5 linked regions of the Xenopus tropicalis genome follow. The protein of the gene in region 3 interacts with the protein of the main gene of each other region in a pairwise test. Links are inferred from orthologs where the notes say so. Each region holds a gene or a part of one and is shown on either strand. Other genes may lie near its edges.

The links. The genes of interacting proteins can lie anywhere in the genome.
Region 1: the proteins of nefl (region 3) and usp2 interact in binary tests that used the Homo sapiens proteins (3 or more experiments, as listed by UniProt). The two-hybrid records come from large-scale screens. The link is inferred for Xenopus tropicalis from reciprocal best matches to the Homo sapiens genes NEFL and USP2.
Region 2: the proteins of nefl (region 3) and nme7 interact in binary tests that used the Homo sapiens proteins (3 or more experiments, as listed by UniProt). The two-hybrid records come from large-scale screens. The link is inferred for Xenopus tropicalis from reciprocal best matches to the Homo sapiens genes NEFL and NME7.
Region 4: the proteins of nefl (region 3) and tex11 interact in a two-hybrid assay, tested with the Homo sapiens proteins (2 studies listed by BioGRID and IntAct). The two-hybrid records come from large-scale screens. The link is inferred for Xenopus tropicalis from reciprocal best matches to the Homo sapiens genes NEFL and TEX11.
Region 5: the proteins of nefl (region 3) and skil interact in binary tests that used the Homo sapiens proteins (3 or more experiments, as listed by UniProt). The link is inferred for Xenopus tropicalis from reciprocal best matches to the Homo sapiens genes NEFL and SKIL.

What each region holds. Positions count from the first base shown.
Region 1 is NC_030683.2:80,116,571-80,120,091, reverse strand, and holds part of usp2 (ubiquitin carboxyl-terminal hydrolase 2), read right to left. Parts: intron 2,107-3,521; coding exon 2,056-2,106; intron 1,974-2,055; coding exon 1,853-1,973; intron 1,671-1,852; coding exon 1,559-1,670; intron 759-1,558; coding exon 648-758; intron 1-647. UniProt on the Homo sapiens protein: Hydrolase that deubiquitinates polyubiquitinated target proteins such as MDM2, MDM4 and CCND1. Isoform 1 and isoform 4 possess both ubiquitin-specific peptidase and isopeptidase activities.
Region 2 is NC_030678.2:55,260,270-55,262,590, forward strand, and holds the end of nme7 (nucleoside diphosphate kinase 7), read right to left. Parts: intron 1,458-2,321; coding exon 1,350-1,457; intron 757-1,349; coding exon 724-756; 3' UTR 511-723; downstream 1-510. UniProt on the Homo sapiens protein: Possesses an intrinsic kinase activity. Displays 3'-5' exonuclease activity with a preference for single-stranded DNA. Does not seem to have nucleoside diphosphate kinase activity.
Region 3 is NC_030679.2:127,657,499-127,661,451, reverse strand, and holds the start of nefl (neurofilament light polypeptide), read left to right. Parts: upstream 1-1,149; 5' UTR 1,150-1,176; coding exon 1,177-2,208; intron 2,209-3,353; coding exon 3,354-3,478; intron 3,479-3,953. UniProt on the Homo sapiens protein: Neurofilaments usually contain three intermediate filament proteins: NEFL, NEFM, and NEFH which are involved in the maintenance of neuronal caliber.
Region 4 is NC_030684.2:44,774,653-44,778,173, reverse strand, and holds part of tex11 (testis-expressed protein 11), read right to left. Parts: intron 1,235-3,521; coding exon 1,116-1,234; intron 335-1,115; coding exon 250-334; intron 1-249. UniProt on the Homo sapiens protein: Regulator of crossing-over during meiosis. Involved in initiation and/or maintenance of chromosome synapsis and formation of crossovers.
Region 5 is NC_030681.2:111,877,212-111,880,732, reverse strand, and holds part of skil (ski-like protein), read left to right. Parts: intron 1-39; coding exon 40-281; intron 282-2,003; coding exon 2,004-2,164; intron 2,165-3,392; coding exon 3,393-3,521. UniProt on the Homo sapiens protein: May have regulatory role in cell division or differentiation in response to extracellular signals.

The DNA of each region.
Region 1 (3,521 bases), on a different chromosome or scaffold from region 3:
CCCTGCAGCAGATTTGGTCAGTTATCCTGTAGTGTGGCTTCCTATTTTGAAATAGGACCCAGAAAATATGTGTGTCCACTGAACTGGGTTCCATCTCCATAGGTAGATACGTTTCTATCAGTGGAATCTGCTAATACTTATGTGCAGCCAACTTGTACAAATCCAACATTTAGGCTTGTGAAGTGAGCATCCAGATATCTTAGTAGAAGAAAACATAGAGTTCTACATAGTAGGATCTACTGCAAATCTCACCCTGGCTGGACTGTTTAAAGTTCAGAAAGCTAAATCTAAGCCCCAAGCACTGCGTTTTTGTGGCAATTAATTGCTAATTTGCCTACTTTGTTGTAATTTCCAGTATCCCCAGTGGTTTACAGATTAATTAAATGCAGATGTATTCCTTCCTCTAGGGAGACATCAACCACAAATTCCATTCCTGTCCTCCCCCATACAATTGGCAGTAGCACAAACCAAGGTCATAAGGCAGAGACCAAAAGTGCTTGTGTTCAGTTTAAATATAAAAGACGACTGTAAAATCAAGCCAGGCAGTCAGAAACACTTTGACTTAAACACTGATTTACATCAATTAATGTAGTATGCACATGCACTGAGTACTCTCTACTTTCTCTTGACTTATAACCAATACTCACGGCATATGGTCCAAATCCTGGCTGGAAGGTCTGGGTTTGACTGTTACCCTGTTGACTTCATTGTGTAAACCATCCAAGAGAAATCGTAGAAATTCCTGAGCGTCTTGCTGGCTGTGTAAATGGACAGACAAAAAGCAAACTGTAATCAAAGGCTTTAATTTAATATATAATATAGTTCCTCTTGGAAGAATAAAATATGGGAATATAAACGTAGACTGGAACATAGTAGAAATGAAAGAATTTTACTCAGGAAAGTGAAATATGATATCCAGAATCATACATAAAACTAACTGTAGCCCATGATTGAAAGCCCATCACAGTATCACCAGGTAGAAGATTTTACAGCCCTCACGATGAAGAACCATTTACATTGCTTTAGTTAAAACCAGGGTCAGTTGGGGCTGCCAGGACACCGGGAAAATTCTTTTGGGCCCCACCGACCTAGACTTTCTCCACTACATAAGTATGAAAGCCCATAAGCAGGTGGTTTAGACTTAACTAATAAATCCAAGATAAATGTTTACTGAGCATTAACTTTATCAAGTCAATAACATTATCAAGGGGAATGGCATTTGTCCTGGCTATGTAGCTAAATGCAATATAAAACTAACATTTCCCTCATGCATGTTAATATTCCAAGTTAAAATCCCTGCCCATGCCCCAAATAAGGTCACACCTCAAACTGAACCATATCTACTTTTAAGGAGAAGGAAAGTTAAAATCACTGGTGGTGCCAATGAGACCCCCCCAGTAATTAGAATAGTGTACCTGATACCCTGGGCCAGTGCTCCTGCTAGCAGAAAACTGCACAAACCAAGGGTAGTTGTAGTTTTAGCACTTAAGTTTGACTATGTTTTTAACAGATGGGAAGATGACACAGTGTTAAATAAAAAAACATTAAGTTTGCTTACTTATATCCCATGAAGCGAGGAGCATATTTCTGTATCTGAGTTTTGAACTCAGAAGGGCTCACTACTTCATTGGCTGAACTAGTCCAAATTGCCTGGAGCAATCGTGCAAACTCTGGAATAATAAAAATCAAATCAGTAATGCATATCATATTGCATATCACCAATTCTGCTATGGAATTTTGTCAGTTCATGTTTTGCTATAAATTTAATATTGTGCCTGTAGTATTTTATATTGCCAGTTGCCTGGTTCTTTGCTTTGTGTGTGTGCAGTGTTTATTTTTGAAAATCTCTTACCTTCCATAATTGCAGTATTACATTTTTTTGAACTCAGATCTCGACGATATGAATTCTGCAGACAGTAATCTCGTAGGTCCTTGGTATTGCTTAAACATTGCAGTATGGAGTTCATAAAACACTGGAGTAAAATAAAACACATGTAAGAGAGATCCCGAGAAGCTGGTATGCACAAAAAACAAAACAAAAACTCACAGACTTACCGTATTACCCAGATTCCGAAGGCCAACTAGACCCTGTACGTGTTTGGAAGACTGCAAAACGAAGAAAAACAAAGAAAAGAAAAGTATTATAGTCTTACCTAGGGGCCCAGTAAAAGGATTCACAAGATAAGGTGACAACACGAACAAATGAGTAGAAATGAAATATTTAATGCATTCTTCAATGCACACACAATTTTATAGATTCGCCAATGCATGTTTGCATGTATTAACATGTGTGTTTCTAATTACCTGGTGTATGCAAAATCTTTTACTTTGAACAACTATTATGCCACAGGGTCAGAGATCCCCATACAGTCACACACAGACCTATATTCAAGCGAAGAGGTTTGGCTGGTTTCTGTGTTAGAGAAGTAAAACAACATGCACTGGGCAGTAAACTAAATGGCAAATGTCCAGTAGCTGTAGACTGTGGTCTACAGGGACAGGGAAGATGCTAAGTAAACAATAATAACAGTTAAGGCTTCAGTTGAATACCTGAAAATTGCAATGCTGTCTTCACAGCATTAATATGTAAAAGGACATTTATGGTAGTTAATTAATATTTTTGCATCTTAGGATATGTGCACATAGGTTGTTTTGAACTGCCTGGTGTATGCTATGTTTATCCTAGCCACTAAGTGTCTGCCAGTAGAGATCTTATGGCCACCAAAATAAAGATTGTGGCTAAAGGGCTGCTGAGGCATCTGGCATCTGGCTAAATATTAAAGCTAAATATTAAAGGAACAGTAACACCAAAAAATTGTGTATAAAAGTAACTAAAATATAATGTGCTGCTGCCCTGCACTGGTAAAAGTTGTGTGTTTACTTCAGAAAGTCTACTATAATTTATATAAATAAGCTGCTATGTAGCCATGGAGGCAGGCATTCAAATGAGAAAAGGCACAGGAACATAGCAGATAACAGATAAAACACTACTGTATTCTACAGAACTTATCTGTTATCTGCTATGTAACCTGTGCCTTTTCGCCTTTTTTCCAGCTTGAATGGCTGCCCCCATGGCTACACAGCAGCTTATTATATAAATCATAGTAGTGTTACTGTAGCAAACACACCAGTTTTACCAGTGCAGGGCAACAGTGCATTATATTTTTATTACTTTAAAGCTCTTTCATTTTTTGGTGTTACTGTTCCTTTAAGTTGGTAGAGGGTGTGGCTTCCCAGAGAAGGAGGTTTCCTCCCCTCTCCATGTGGTAGATCTTGTACATGGCTAGAATTAAAATGCTATTGTGGCAACAAAGTTAAGAAATAAATAACTATATATTATTATATAAATATAGAAGGTGCTTGAGAGAGGGTCAGCACTCACAGGACTTATATAAACAAATTATTTTTTATTATTATTATAAAGAGGAGACTAACGTTTCGGCTAGTACTTTAGCCTTTATCAAAGACTTTATATATATATATATAAAGTTGCGGTAAGAATTGCGATGCCGGTTATGTCA
Region 2 (2,321 bases), on a different chromosome or scaffold from region 3:
AATTTTATTGCTACTTTTCTTGTTTTGTTTTTTCTTTTTTTAATTTAAACGGAAGTGGTGGCCAACCAATAATATTTAATAGCACTCCACAAGTCCTTTAAATAAGGCATTGATTTGTTTTATCTGTAAAAGAGCTTCTGTTTTTGTCTTTCTCTTCTTAGTTTCACTGAAATGCAAGAGGTGATGGGTTGTGCGGTGCTTTTTATTTAATGCTTTTTATAGAAACTTTCCCCTTTAAATGCTTAAGCCCATTATGAAGGTGTGTGAAGCCCCGGGTCCGACTGTCACTTTTTGTCAGAAATAGGGCTAATGGTTTTTGAGTTATATATATATAAATATTTTTATTTTATGTTTTTGTTTTTTTGTTTTTTCTGAAAGCATCACAGTTTGGTGCTTTGTCTTTACAAATGTTTTAACCATTTTCATGGTGGAAGAATTTTATATTTATGCAGTTGTACAATTTTTATTTTTCTTCAAGAAAAAGAAAATGTATGAAACAAACCAAAGTAACCTGTTGAAAAATAAATCTTTATTTTAAAACAACGTTCATGGCAATGCAGTATCCCATAGGATGTATTTAAATGTCTACTGTGCACACATTGTTCATACATCTGTAATAATTGCCAGGAGTCCTGTGCTCTTGTTGGAACTTCAGTCAAGTTAAACATGAGACAATAAAACAATAAACAAAGTTTGGTGTTTTGGATTCTTCTGTTTTTCAATTCAGCTATCCAGAATCTTGAAAAAATATTGCACCTGTGAGTGAAGTATTGTCTTGTTATAGGTTTAAATCAAATAAAATCCATTATTACAGTTCAGTCACAAAAAAAAATGAAAAGTAATAAGGGAAAAAGAACATCTAGCCATGTATGTACTTCGATTTCATATCATCTTATGGGTACAGAAATGGGCAGCTTTAGGTTTACATTGGGGGTGGGGTGGGGTGGGGTTTGTAACATGATTTTTGTTGAGAAAAGAACAGTAGTTCTGCATACAGATACCATTAGTTTGGTGTTCTTACAAAATTGTCATGAAAAGCAGTTGGTAGCAAAATACATTCAAATATAATAAGTAAATGTAGCTGATGCTGATGAAAGCCAAGTCAAGAAGTAGACCCACATAGCTGTAGATGCCCCAAACCACATCCTCTAACTGCCCGTTCTTAGTTTCTAAAGGTGGGGCAACTCTACTAAAAAAGGCCTCTTCGACAGGGTGTGTAGCAGAGTTGCACACAGACACAGCTGGGTGAACTGAGGAGTTGCCTTGCTGATTTGAAACTACAGAACTTGGGAAGTATGCCACACTAGGCATAAGAGTATCTTCTACATTAAGACTAGTCTATATCTCACCTCTAATGGCGCATCTTCTGGTAAGTCAGTACAATGAACAGCATTCTTAATTTTGTTTTTTCCAAAGCGAGCACGAAGTGTTTTAGGACGCAAATGGCGAGCTATTTCCTGTTTAGATAAATAAAAAAAAAACCTGCATTGTAGGAATTTATTGATATATACCATTCAGCTTAAGAAGACATGAATTACATTTTTCGAAATTAGCTATGATGGTTGAAACTGGATATTTATAAGACAAGGAAATCCACACATTTTTATTAAAGTTAAAAAAGTGCACCTGTACAAATATATACAGTTATTTTAGTAATGCGATGTGAAGTGGGCTAAAATACTTTTTGGTGGGTCACCTTGTCAATATACCTTTTCACTGTAGATGATGTTACCAAGTAATCCAGATACACAGATTTATATTATTATTTTAGGAGTAGAAAAAAACGTACTTTTAATGGCCAATGGAAAGTTTTTGAGGTGAAATTTTCTATGAACATTTCCCTAAAGAAGTGACCTGTACTGTAAGCTTGCAAGACATTTCTTTTCAGAAAGACTTTCCTGAGTGCACCATACATTTTTCTTGCTAACCAATGGAAAAGCCAGAGTAGCCCAATGCCTTTATTGTGGGATAGCAATGTATTATTGGCTTTGTATATATGCATCTAGTTTGTAGCTGCCCATCCTGGAGTTAAACACACATTTCAGATAGCAAATACTCTAATACTCTGCATACTGAAGCTGGGGGAGCTGTTCTATGTCTGTGATGACGAAGCAAGTGTTTGAAAGTAAACCTGGGTCAGTGCTCCTCCTCTGGCCCAGGGTAGCTTTACTGTGAGCATGATGCTGCCATATATTTCTGGTGTTTTTAACATTTCTGTAGGGTGCATGGGCACAACAAAAGAGAGCTTATTTTTGCCCAAATGGCATTTTAGTCCAAATTTTACTCAAATTAGAATATGTAAATTACAGTTTAGATGCAGT
Region 3 (3,953 bases):
TGTAGGCACCTTAGTGCTCCATCCCAAAACTCATTTGCCCATTAACCAAAAATGTCTTAACATCCCAGCCGCTATCACTTCTTATTCCTGCTTTGGGTAGGATCATTTACTGTTTTTGTTTCACTATACACAGTGAAAGTTAACAGTGTCATCAGGGCCAGCCTTAGATAAATGTATTTAACCCATGCTAGGGTTGCCACCTCAAGCTTTATAAATAAAGGGACACCATGGGGAAGGGGCTGAGGAGGGGAAAGACTGATTTTACATTAGCAGAGCTCGGTGACAGGAGGGGGAGCAGCAGTTTCCACTTGTTGCCTTATTGGACCTAAATCCTTTTAACTCCATGTGTAAAGCACTGCAGGTCCCAACAGAATGACTGACATTGGGTCCTGCCATTGCTAAGGGTTGCCTTTTCTCTCATTCTGTCTCCCTATAGTGCTTATTTAATTATTTCCATCCCTTTAGTAGTTAAATCTGTATTTATATTTAGATGGAAAAGTTCTATATCAGGTTGGGTGGTTTCTGGCCATGAAGGTGATCCCCAGGTGTTGGTCAAACATCAAGCAGCGTACCTCCCATTTGGTGATACAATAGAGTCATCAGATGGGACAACAGAACAACAGTTTATTCAAAGCAAGAATATCCCAACAGCACTCCTAAATGGTGAATAAAGAGTGATTTTTACAGGCTTGTTTTGTGGCACAAATAAAAATCACTCTTTATGAGGGCTGTTGGAATTTTCTTGCTTTGCAGAGTCATCCTGTGGGGTGTTTGCACCCTAGGCATGACCCTATTCCCTGTTGGGAAGTTGCTGCTTAGGGTTACTATAACACATAACTAGAGGGGTGTAACTACATTGGAAGCAGTCCCTGCTGGGGGGGGAAATGACTGATAAGCAGTTATATGTATATATTCATAAAGTTTTGGTAGAGGGGTTAAACTGATTTTGCTGTGGGTGCCAGTGACTCCCAATGATCCCAGTGATGGGAGCTGTACATGTGGGTGGGAGAGGGGCGGCTGTGGCTTTAGGCGGAACCGGCACCTCTGCAGTTCTGAAAAGCTGATCTGCTCTGTCCTTGGTGCTGAGCGCTGAAGAACTAGTGGCACCGCGCATGCGCAGCGCACTCCCCGCACCATATAAGAAGGCGCTGCGCTGCGCTCTCCCCAGCCGGCACCATGAGCTCCTACAGTTACGACCCGTATTACACTTCCTACAAGCGCCGGGTGGTGGAGAGCAGCCCCAGGGTGCACATCAGGAGCAGCTATGTCTCTCCCAGCAGAACCACTTACTCCCCGGTGGTTTCCAGCACTATGCGCCGGAGTTACGCCGCCTCTTCTTCTTCCTCCTCTTCCCTCCTGCACGGCGTGGACACCATGGACCTGTCGCAGGTAGCGGCGATCAGCAGCGACTTGAAAATCGTGCGAACCCAGGAGAAGGCGCAGCTGCAGGACCTGAACGATCGCTTCGCCAACTTTATCGAGCGCGTCCACGAACTGGAGCAGCGCAACAAGGTGTTGGAGGCAGAGCTGCTCCTATTGCGCCAAAAACACAACGAACCCTCCAGGCTGCGGGATCTGTACGAGCAGGAGGTACGGGAGCTGCGTCTGGCGCAGGAGGAGGCTACGGGGGACCGGCAGACTATGCGCAACGAGCGCGAACGTTTAGAGGATGCGCTGCGCCTGCTGCAGGGGCGCTATGAGGAAGAAGCGCTGAGCCGGGAAGACGCGGAGGCCAGGCTGTTGGATGTGAGGAAAGAAGCCGACATGGCAGCCCTAGCCCGGGTAGAACTGGAGAAGCGCATGGATAGCCTTCTAGACGAAATCGCTTTCCTGAAGAAAGTACATGAGGAAGAACTGGCGCAGCTTCAGTCGCAGGTGCAATACGCTCAGATCTCCCTAGAAGTCGAAGTGGCTAAGCCCGATCTCAGCTCTGCCCTGCGGGATATAAGGGCCCAGTACGAGAAGCTGGCAGCCAAGAACATGCAGTCCGCGGAGGACTGGTTCAAGTCGCGATTCACTGTCCTGACGCAAAGCGCAGCCCGCAACACGGACGCAGTCAGAGCCGCCAAGGATGAGGTGTCCGAGAGTCGCAGGATGCTCAGCGCCAAGGGTCTGGAGATAGAGGCTTGTAGGGGGGTGAACGACGCTCTAGAGAGGCAAATCCAGGAACTGGAGGAAAAGCAGAGCGGGGAAATCGCAGGGATGCAGGTACTGGGGTGTCTGTGCTGCTGGGGTGGGGATGGGGGGTTAGTAATATTGGTAGGAGCGAACAATGTCTTAACCGTTAACATTAATTCAGCAGGATAAATGGACATGGGAATAGCATAGAATCAGCCCCATAGATTGGCACTGGGCTAACGTTATAAAGGTTATATTGTAGGCTGAGGGTGTATCTGTCTCCACAGACAGGGATACATTCAGTGACACTGGGGGGGTACAAACATCAGGAACTTAGAAAAATCAATGTTTGCCACTGTTCAGTATTAAACAGGGACCCAAATGTCTACAGATGTATGGGGCCCCCAGTAGAAAAATGGGGTTCTGGTAGTCTGCAGCCACCCCACTTTTTTTTTAAAAAAAAAAGACAACCCACCTTTCCTGAATATAATTATAACTCCCAGGATGCATTCCACCCATGCTAGAAGTTGTAGATAAAAGCTGCAGTGTAGACATATCCGATATAAAAATGTTAGTTACTTCTTGCCTTATTGGCCACACTATTCCATCCTTGCATGAGGTTTCTTTATGTATCCTATACCCCACAAACATTAGCTCCCGGAGTGGGTGCAGTGCATAGACGGATGGACCCCCCCTACAAGATAGTGCTGCCAGTCTGCAGCCATCCAGCTATATATACAGTCCCAAGTCCCCTGTACACTGATGCAGAGCTTTGTTTTTTCTGTTGAGAGTTTCTAGAAGCAACTATGGAGTTGGAGTTACATACCAGCTTTGTAGGTTCTGCTGCTGCTGTACATTTTATTAGCTACAAGGAATTATTTAGCTTGCAGTGTCCCACACCCCTTTACACATATACTGAATCCACATCCTGCACTGGTTTCTTTGCAGCACTGCAGTAATGTATTTACATTAATTGCTAATTGGTCATTCAGCATGAAATACTTCACTTTTCTGATTCTAAAGGGTTAAGGTGCCCATCGTACCTGCCCATTGCTTCAAGTGAGTGCATTAAATGAGACCCCATACTTGTAAGTTTCTAAAGGTAACATCTGCTAAAGCTGCATGGAGATATTGCTATGTGCAGTGTAGCCTCCAGTCTACAGTATTTGATATATATCTTGTACGTGAGGTTGGTATCTTAAATAAGCTGAAGAATGGCATTCTCTTTTCTGTAGGATGCTATAAACAAATTAGAGGAAGAGCTGAGGAACACCAAGAGTGAAATGGCGAGGTATCTGAAGGAATATCAAGACCTGCTCAATGTGAAGATGGCTTTGGATATAGAAATTGCTGCCTACAGGTACCAGAGCTCAGCCGATGGCATATACACAATTGCTGAATCCTGCATGGCTCTAGGTGGTAGATTTCATCTGACTCTTTTTTTGGAGGACACACCCCCCTTTGTCAGGTTCCTCTAGATAGCAAATTGACTTGGTGGTTGAGAAGTTAAGAAGATAGACCAAGGTGAAGATCTTATCTTTTTGATATTCCAGCCATATTATGGCTGCTGTAGTGTAGAAAATGTGAGAGAACATTTCAGGCAGGGGTTAAATACATAGACTTTGTTCATCCTCTTGTACTTAAGGTGGAAGGAAAGGTAAAAACTAAGTAAGCTTTATCAGAAAGGTCTATATAAATACAGTCATAAGCACTCACAGAAACGCTGCACTGAGTCCTCTATCAAAGGAAACACAGGATTTATTGTCTCTTTTTTTGTAAACATGATGTTCCAGTGTCTGACTTCCTCTCTCAGAAACATCCTTAATTCCTGTGGC
Region 4 (3,521 bases), on a different chromosome or scaffold from region 3:
CTCAAGGGAAAAGTTTTCTTTGTGATCATAGATTTAAAATACATTTTAACCTTTAGTTGTCATCCTGATTGCCACTTATCTTGGACTTACCAGTTTTAGCCTCCTTTAGAAGCTTTAGAAACACAATTATGCAATAATGCTGCCATAAAAACTATTATACAAACACACAAAGGAAACATACACATAAATGTGAATCAGCAAGGATGTATTTCTTTCATCAGTAACATCAGTCCTGGTGTCAATTCTTACCTCTAGCTCTGTCATCCTCAGTAATGGAGTCTTCTGCCCTCTTTGTTACACCCCAGTTCCACAAATTGATAGCACATTCGTCAACCTAAAAGATGAACTGAAATTGTGTAAGCCGTGATAACTGTAACTAGCATAAAGTGTTGTGCTAAGGTGCAGTGAGTGTGTGCAGGGCCGGATTTCTCATTAGGGTGCCCCGAGGCCACCCCACTTTTGTCGCCCAACTCACGCATGTGCATTGCCCCCCCCCCCCCCGCCGTTTAGGCAAATCACATGGTATGATATGGAAACACTCAGGGAACATCCATTACTAATTGAAGCATCCCAGTACTTTCAAAACCAACAAAACCAAGAAATCGAACAACAAAACTATGGACCACCCAGGAGCCAACAAAGAATGACAATGTTGGCAAACTACTTGCAGTGAAAGCTATCTTTCACAAGGCCCAAAGAAAACAGGTATAAGCTAAAAGTTTTTAGCAAAGACATGAATGTAAAACAAAATACTACAACAAATGTTTTAACAGATATGTCTGACAATATGAAAATGAAAATAAAGTTTTGGTGTAAACAAAATTGAATTCCCTTACTCAAGCCCACATTTGTAGATTTATGTTTAAGGACAGGTCAAGCTATAAAGAAGGAAAATCTAAGAATCTCATCCATATAAAGTTATGTCCAAGAAGCCCCCTCTACTTTTGAAGTAAAAGGATTCAGACAATTCTTTTCTGGACTGGGACCCTTAACAGGACTGTCTCCTGCTCCAACCCTAAAGACAGCCCTGCGCTTATATATATTGAGAAAGAGAGAATTCTACAATTCCCATATAACGTTTGCAGATATTTGCTGATTAGTGGTCTGTTCCCTACCTGAGCATTCGAACACTGGATTCCATTTTCCCCCAGATATTCTATCTCTTTGTACAGCTGATCAATAATCTCACTCACAGCTGATGGTAGTGGTCTCCCCATCAAGTCAGTAATAAGACCTGGAATCAAAAAGCTTTAAAAAGTGATCACATTACAGATAGAAGAAAGCACAGGCCTATCTTTGAAGAGATGAATTTGCCCAGTTATCCCTTTTCCTCATGTTCTTATTGCAGCCTGTAGTCAATTCAAAAACAATAGCATCAACCCATGGGAATGAAAGTAGAATGAATGGTATCATTTGTACTGCATATATCCCCTTTGTTTGCCAGCACCATCACAATTTTCTTAAAACAAATATCAGCTTTCACCTGGTGGCCATTCCCACATTTTTATCAGTTACATTTAAATCTGCAAACAGCATACACACACAGACCCTTATTCAGCATAAATTTCATCAAGGATGCAGGCTCACACAGGCGGAACTGTCTTTGATAAAAGGTCTACTTTGTTCGAGCACTGTAATAGTTAAGCTAAGCTCAGGAGAGGAGGTTAGGGGAAAACAATGGGAGCCGATAGATGGAGCTGAGTTTATATGGGAACCAGCAATGCCATCTTTTCATTGGCTGCTAGAATGGAGGGTGTGTTTAGTAATCCGAGCTGAGAAAAACTGAGCATGCCCAGGAGCCAACAGCCAAAGGAAATCCAAGTAATTAAAGGAGAAGGAAAGGCTAATAAAGAGTTAATCTCAAGCTGCAGGCATACCTTCAATTGTCTCAATAATGCCCATAAGTCTCCCCACATTTTGCCTGTTTAGATGATCAGAAGCCAAATAGGAAGAAAAAACGCTGAGCTGTGTAAAGAGGATTCCCATAATGCATCGTTCCTGCACCAAGACTAAGACCAGCTCCTCAGTAAGCGCATGCGCATTGACAAGAAACAGAAGTGCGCCTCGCTAGCAAGCTCGTGCCTGTGTTTGCGCAGTGCACAGTTAGCATAGAGGAGAGTAGGTCGTGCTCGCGTCTTGGGGGAGGGAGAAGATTTGCGCAGGTGCGTTTACTTACACGGCGCCATGTTAGACTAATTTCAGTATCCAACATGTTGGCCACAATATGCGCGATATAGCGGTTACTAAAGTCGGTGAGTGCAGGAAATAAAGAGGCTAAAAAGCTAAAAAAAAGGTAGCGATCAGCTATGGGCACATGAGGCCTTTCTAGTTATGGGGTTGCCATTTTAACCCTTTCCTTCTCCTCTAAGGTGATGCTGCAGCCTGAACAACCAGAATGGCAGGTATTAAAAGATTTCAATGAGGCCGTTCACTGATTACATTTTTACATGTCCTTTGATAGACTTGGAGGAGGGGAAGCTGATTATTATTAGTTGGCTTGGAAAGATTAGAATCTCACCTGCTAGTAATGTTGCATGCACTAGGGATAGTCTTTGTAATCCTCTGTTTTACTAAGTGAATAAATAGTATTTTAAAGTGTATTAATTTTTAAAAAAAATAAATGAGGGTGTTGTTGAGGTTAGTGTAACTGTAAAGATACAAAATCCTCAATTAAAAATTAAAAATACCATTAATCTTGTGGCTAATGTGCTTGGTTTTCTGTCCCTATCCCTGAAAGATACATTATACTTAGGACACTTGCCCAATAAGTCATATAATATGACCCAGTTTTCCTTTATTTTTTTTTAAATCAATAGCTTTGTTATTAAACTGAGAATGATGAATGAATAAAGACAAGGTCTGATTGAATCTTTGTATAATAAACTCTCTTCCCTTTTTACTGCCAGTGTCTCAGTTAGAATCATTAAGAGGTTGCTAAAGAATCAGGAGTATGATGAAGCTGAAAAACATTCTTCAACTGGATTACATGTGTGCCCTTTAATATTACTCATAGCAAAGGTTACAGCTTCAGCTGAATTTAAAGGAGAACTAAATCCTAAAACTGAATATGGCTAGAAATGCCATATTTTATATACTGAGCTTATTGCACCAGCAATGATTCAGCATCTCAATAGCAGCATGATCCGGGACTTCAAAGTTGTCACACATTCTTACCCTCTTGGATTTTGCTTTGACACTCACATGCTCAGTGTGGTCCTTGCAGCTATTGAGAATCTAAGCAGAAACCACCTGCACATGTGCAGATGGATTTTAGCCCAAAAATTGAGTATTCTGGGGTTTACATAGTTCCGTATGAGTAGTTTCAGGCAGCTGTAAGTAAAGTTAATGGCAGGCAAAAAAGGTGAATTTTATCAGTGTATTTTAGGCTATACAGGTCATTTACTTATGCCCCAGATGCACACACCCCCAACTGTCCCGGTTTTAATAGCGCATCCCGCTGTCCCAGATAGTTCCATCACTGTCCTGCATTTCCGTAATAGATTACAGAAATGCGGGACATT
Region 5 (3,521 bases), on a different chromosome or scaffold from region 3:
GTTTTTTTTTTCACAAACTTGTTAAATATTCCTTTTCAGCTACTATCTCTACATGTATGATAAGGTTGTGGCGCCGAATGTATCCCTCACAGCTACTGTATCACAGTGCAAGGAAGCAAAAATAGGAAGAAAAGAGGTTGCACCCAGCAAACCCTCTGTGGAGCTAGAGAAGCAGGCTAGGAGTGGCAAACATAAATCTGTTACCTCATACCCTGAGCTTTCCATAGAGGAACAAGAGAGGGTGGATTTGAAACCAGACATAAAGACCAGTAATATTAAACGTAAGTAAAATGTGCAAGTTTTCTGGCCTCCTCTTTGATTCACATGTTCTACTGAAAAACAACATCAGCTACTTAAAGAAGTTTAAGCAAAGGAATATTATTATCTTTCGAAGGACACTTTAAATGTGACTAATCGCTTAACTCTAACCCCAGTCTGGGTCTTTTCTACGAAAAATGCACTAGCCAGGGGTAGTATTGAGCAGAGTAGGCCGCCATAATCTTACCCTACTTACCCAGTGATTGCTTGGCTCAGCATAAAAGGTAAGTGAATAGGTAATAGCGTTGCCAACAAAATGGCCGGTGACTCTAACTTTTCTATTCCTTTAAAACAGTGTTGTTTAGGATCAAGTCCCTTTTAGTTGGTTCAGCATTTAGTTAGGGGCCCCATTACCTTATAACACACTGTTGTTGCAAGAATATCTAGAACAGCAAAGAAGTGTTCACTGCAAGGCTTAAATTAGTTGTCCTTCAGGTTGGGTCTGAGGACAGCATTCAGCCTGACTTCCCAGCTGCCCATCCTTGGTAGGTGGGATAAGCTCCACAGTTGGAAACCTTCAACAGGTGGGTCTTCACAGAATATTGGCAGGCTGAAGACACTTTTGAAGGATAAGGAACTGCAAAGTGGTGTATATGGAGATATGGAGATGAAAGCTGAGATGAGGGAAGGGCCTTCAGTATTTTGATTCATAGGGAATCAATGATCTGGATAAATACATGAGTCTGCCCTATACAGTGGTTGTGGTAGCATCATACTCTGGTTTTGATTTTTATTAGCAGGGACTAGCGGTAAATGTGAAAGAAATGTTAGGAAGAGCACCGCACTTGTATGAAAGCAATATTATTAATTATCTGGTATTAATATAGTGCATACACATTTCTGCAGTGCTTTACAGAAATGATGCAATCACCCCAGTGCAATCACCCCAGTGGAGCTCACAATCTATGGTTACTATCACATTCACCCACAATAGTGGCAGTTTCATAAGGAACCAGTTAACCCGCCTGTATGTTTCTGGAGTACTATGGCAGAGCCCTCTTTAACTCTTGTATTGGTTATATTTTTGTGTTTAATCTGAATGTTCAGCATATGCACCCATTTATTGTACAGAGTTGTATAATATCTTGGCGCTTTATAAATACATGTTAGTAAGAATAATGGGACTATTCAGAAAGTCGACTGGAGCACAGTTTTAAAACTACTGCTTTTGGTCATTGGCGCTGCGGGTTGGGGGTGTTAGGTTGCGGGGGGGGGGGGTTTGGTTGTGCAGGGACGATGCTGGGGGAGCCGGGTGAAAATCCAACATGGCGGCCACCACAGAGTGCAAAGAGAGGAATGTTTGAAGGCACATTTTGGGACAAGGGAGGATTATTTTTAAAAAAATAAGTTTGCGATCTGTTACAGGCAAGGGGGCTCTACAATATATTAAGGGCTTTAGTAGAAGCCTTTCCTTGCTCTTTAAGGAGATTAAAGATAAATGTGATGGGAGTTCTTATATTGTCATTTTCAGTTTGAAATAATATTCAGAGAAGCAAAATAGCGTTAAAATGTTTAGCTTTATGCTAATTTTGATTTGCACAGAGGTGACATTTTTGCAGGTTTTTTTTATTAGGTAGTTAAATCAGTTAGAATGCTATATTATCTTATAAGGTATGTTCTCGTATTCTTCTGTTCCCATTTCTTTCTTTATCTTTGGTTTCAGTGATAAGCTTTTTATTTTACAGAGCCCAATACAGTGGATGGGGAAAAGCATGAATCTGCTTGTAATAAGGATATTCTCTGTGTGGATGACAAAAGCCAAATAATGGAAGAAGTTGTAAAAACATTCTTGAAACAGCAAGAGAAACTGAATTACATTCTGCAGAAAAAACAGCAAATTCAAATGGTATGTAAGGTGTCACTTCAAGTTACAGATTTTCTCATGGATACAACCTAAGACATTTGTTTAACACTTAAAATTATTATTGGTAAAAATAATTAATGGGTGTAATCTTTAATAAATGTTTACCCAGATTGGTGAACTTAGGTCAATCAGTGACTTATACATGTGTCATAAAGATTGGGCAGAAAGAATATATACCATACAAGGGTCCCTATGCTTTAGGCTCAGCCTGGTGCAGGTACAATGAGCAGATTTCGACACATAACTACTTGGGTATGCAATTACGCACCAAAATCTGCCGCAGGTACATCAATAGGTATTTTGAAGTGTAGGGGCAGATAAATACAGGACAGGAATCCACCCCATGTAGCAGGAGCCTCATGGCCACCTTTCAGGTTTTCCATTGAAAGCCAAAATGATACCAACATAGGCAGATTTAATGTTCCAACATGTCGTATTAGCAAATTGACAAATATCTATGGATATTAGACAGGATTATCAAGGTAGCATAAAATTAAGAAATAGTTTCATTGTTATTATACCTGTAAGGGCAGTGAAAATCCTACCTTCCCTTAGTTAAGTTTGGAAGTATTTAAACACACCAGATCTATAGAGTAATCCAGACTTTCCTGCTTGGGCTGGTATACCTAACTGTAATTATCACAGTATCTTTTGGGTACTTGTGACATTGCCATGTATATATTTTGTATGCTGTTTATATAGTGCTAACATGTTATGCTGGTGCTTTACAAAGATTGCACATCATTCAGGTGACTTCATCTCCCAGTAGAGCTTTAAAGTCTATGATTCCTATCACATTGACATACAAACTAGGGTCCATTTCATCAGTAAATTTTTAGCCTTGTGATGTGAGCCAAATGAATAACCGTTATTATTTCTGAAATCATCCCTTTGTGCTTTTACAGCATTTGTATTCTGGACTGACTAGAACCCCATAATGCTTGTGTTGGTCTTCCATAAATTTCAAGATTCCATCATAATAAATAAGACTCAGCCGCTCAAAAACATCCTCACCTTTCATATGGGGGCACAAACAAGCTGCTTACTGCTAGACTGCATAACTCATATTTTGATAATACTCCGTAGGGTACATTCCTAACATTGATTGTAGTTGAGTCACAGTGCCCCTACTAAAGGCAGAAGTAGCTCAGTTACTTATACAGTAATAATCTAGGCCAAGGACACAAGAATAACATACTGGTTTTTGCAGGAAGTTGAACTACTAAGCAATTCCAAAACTATGAAGGACCTAACTGTGGAGCAACAGAACTTGCAGAAAGAGTTTGAATCCTTGCAGAATGAGCACATGCAAAAAATGGAGGAATTATATGATGAGCAG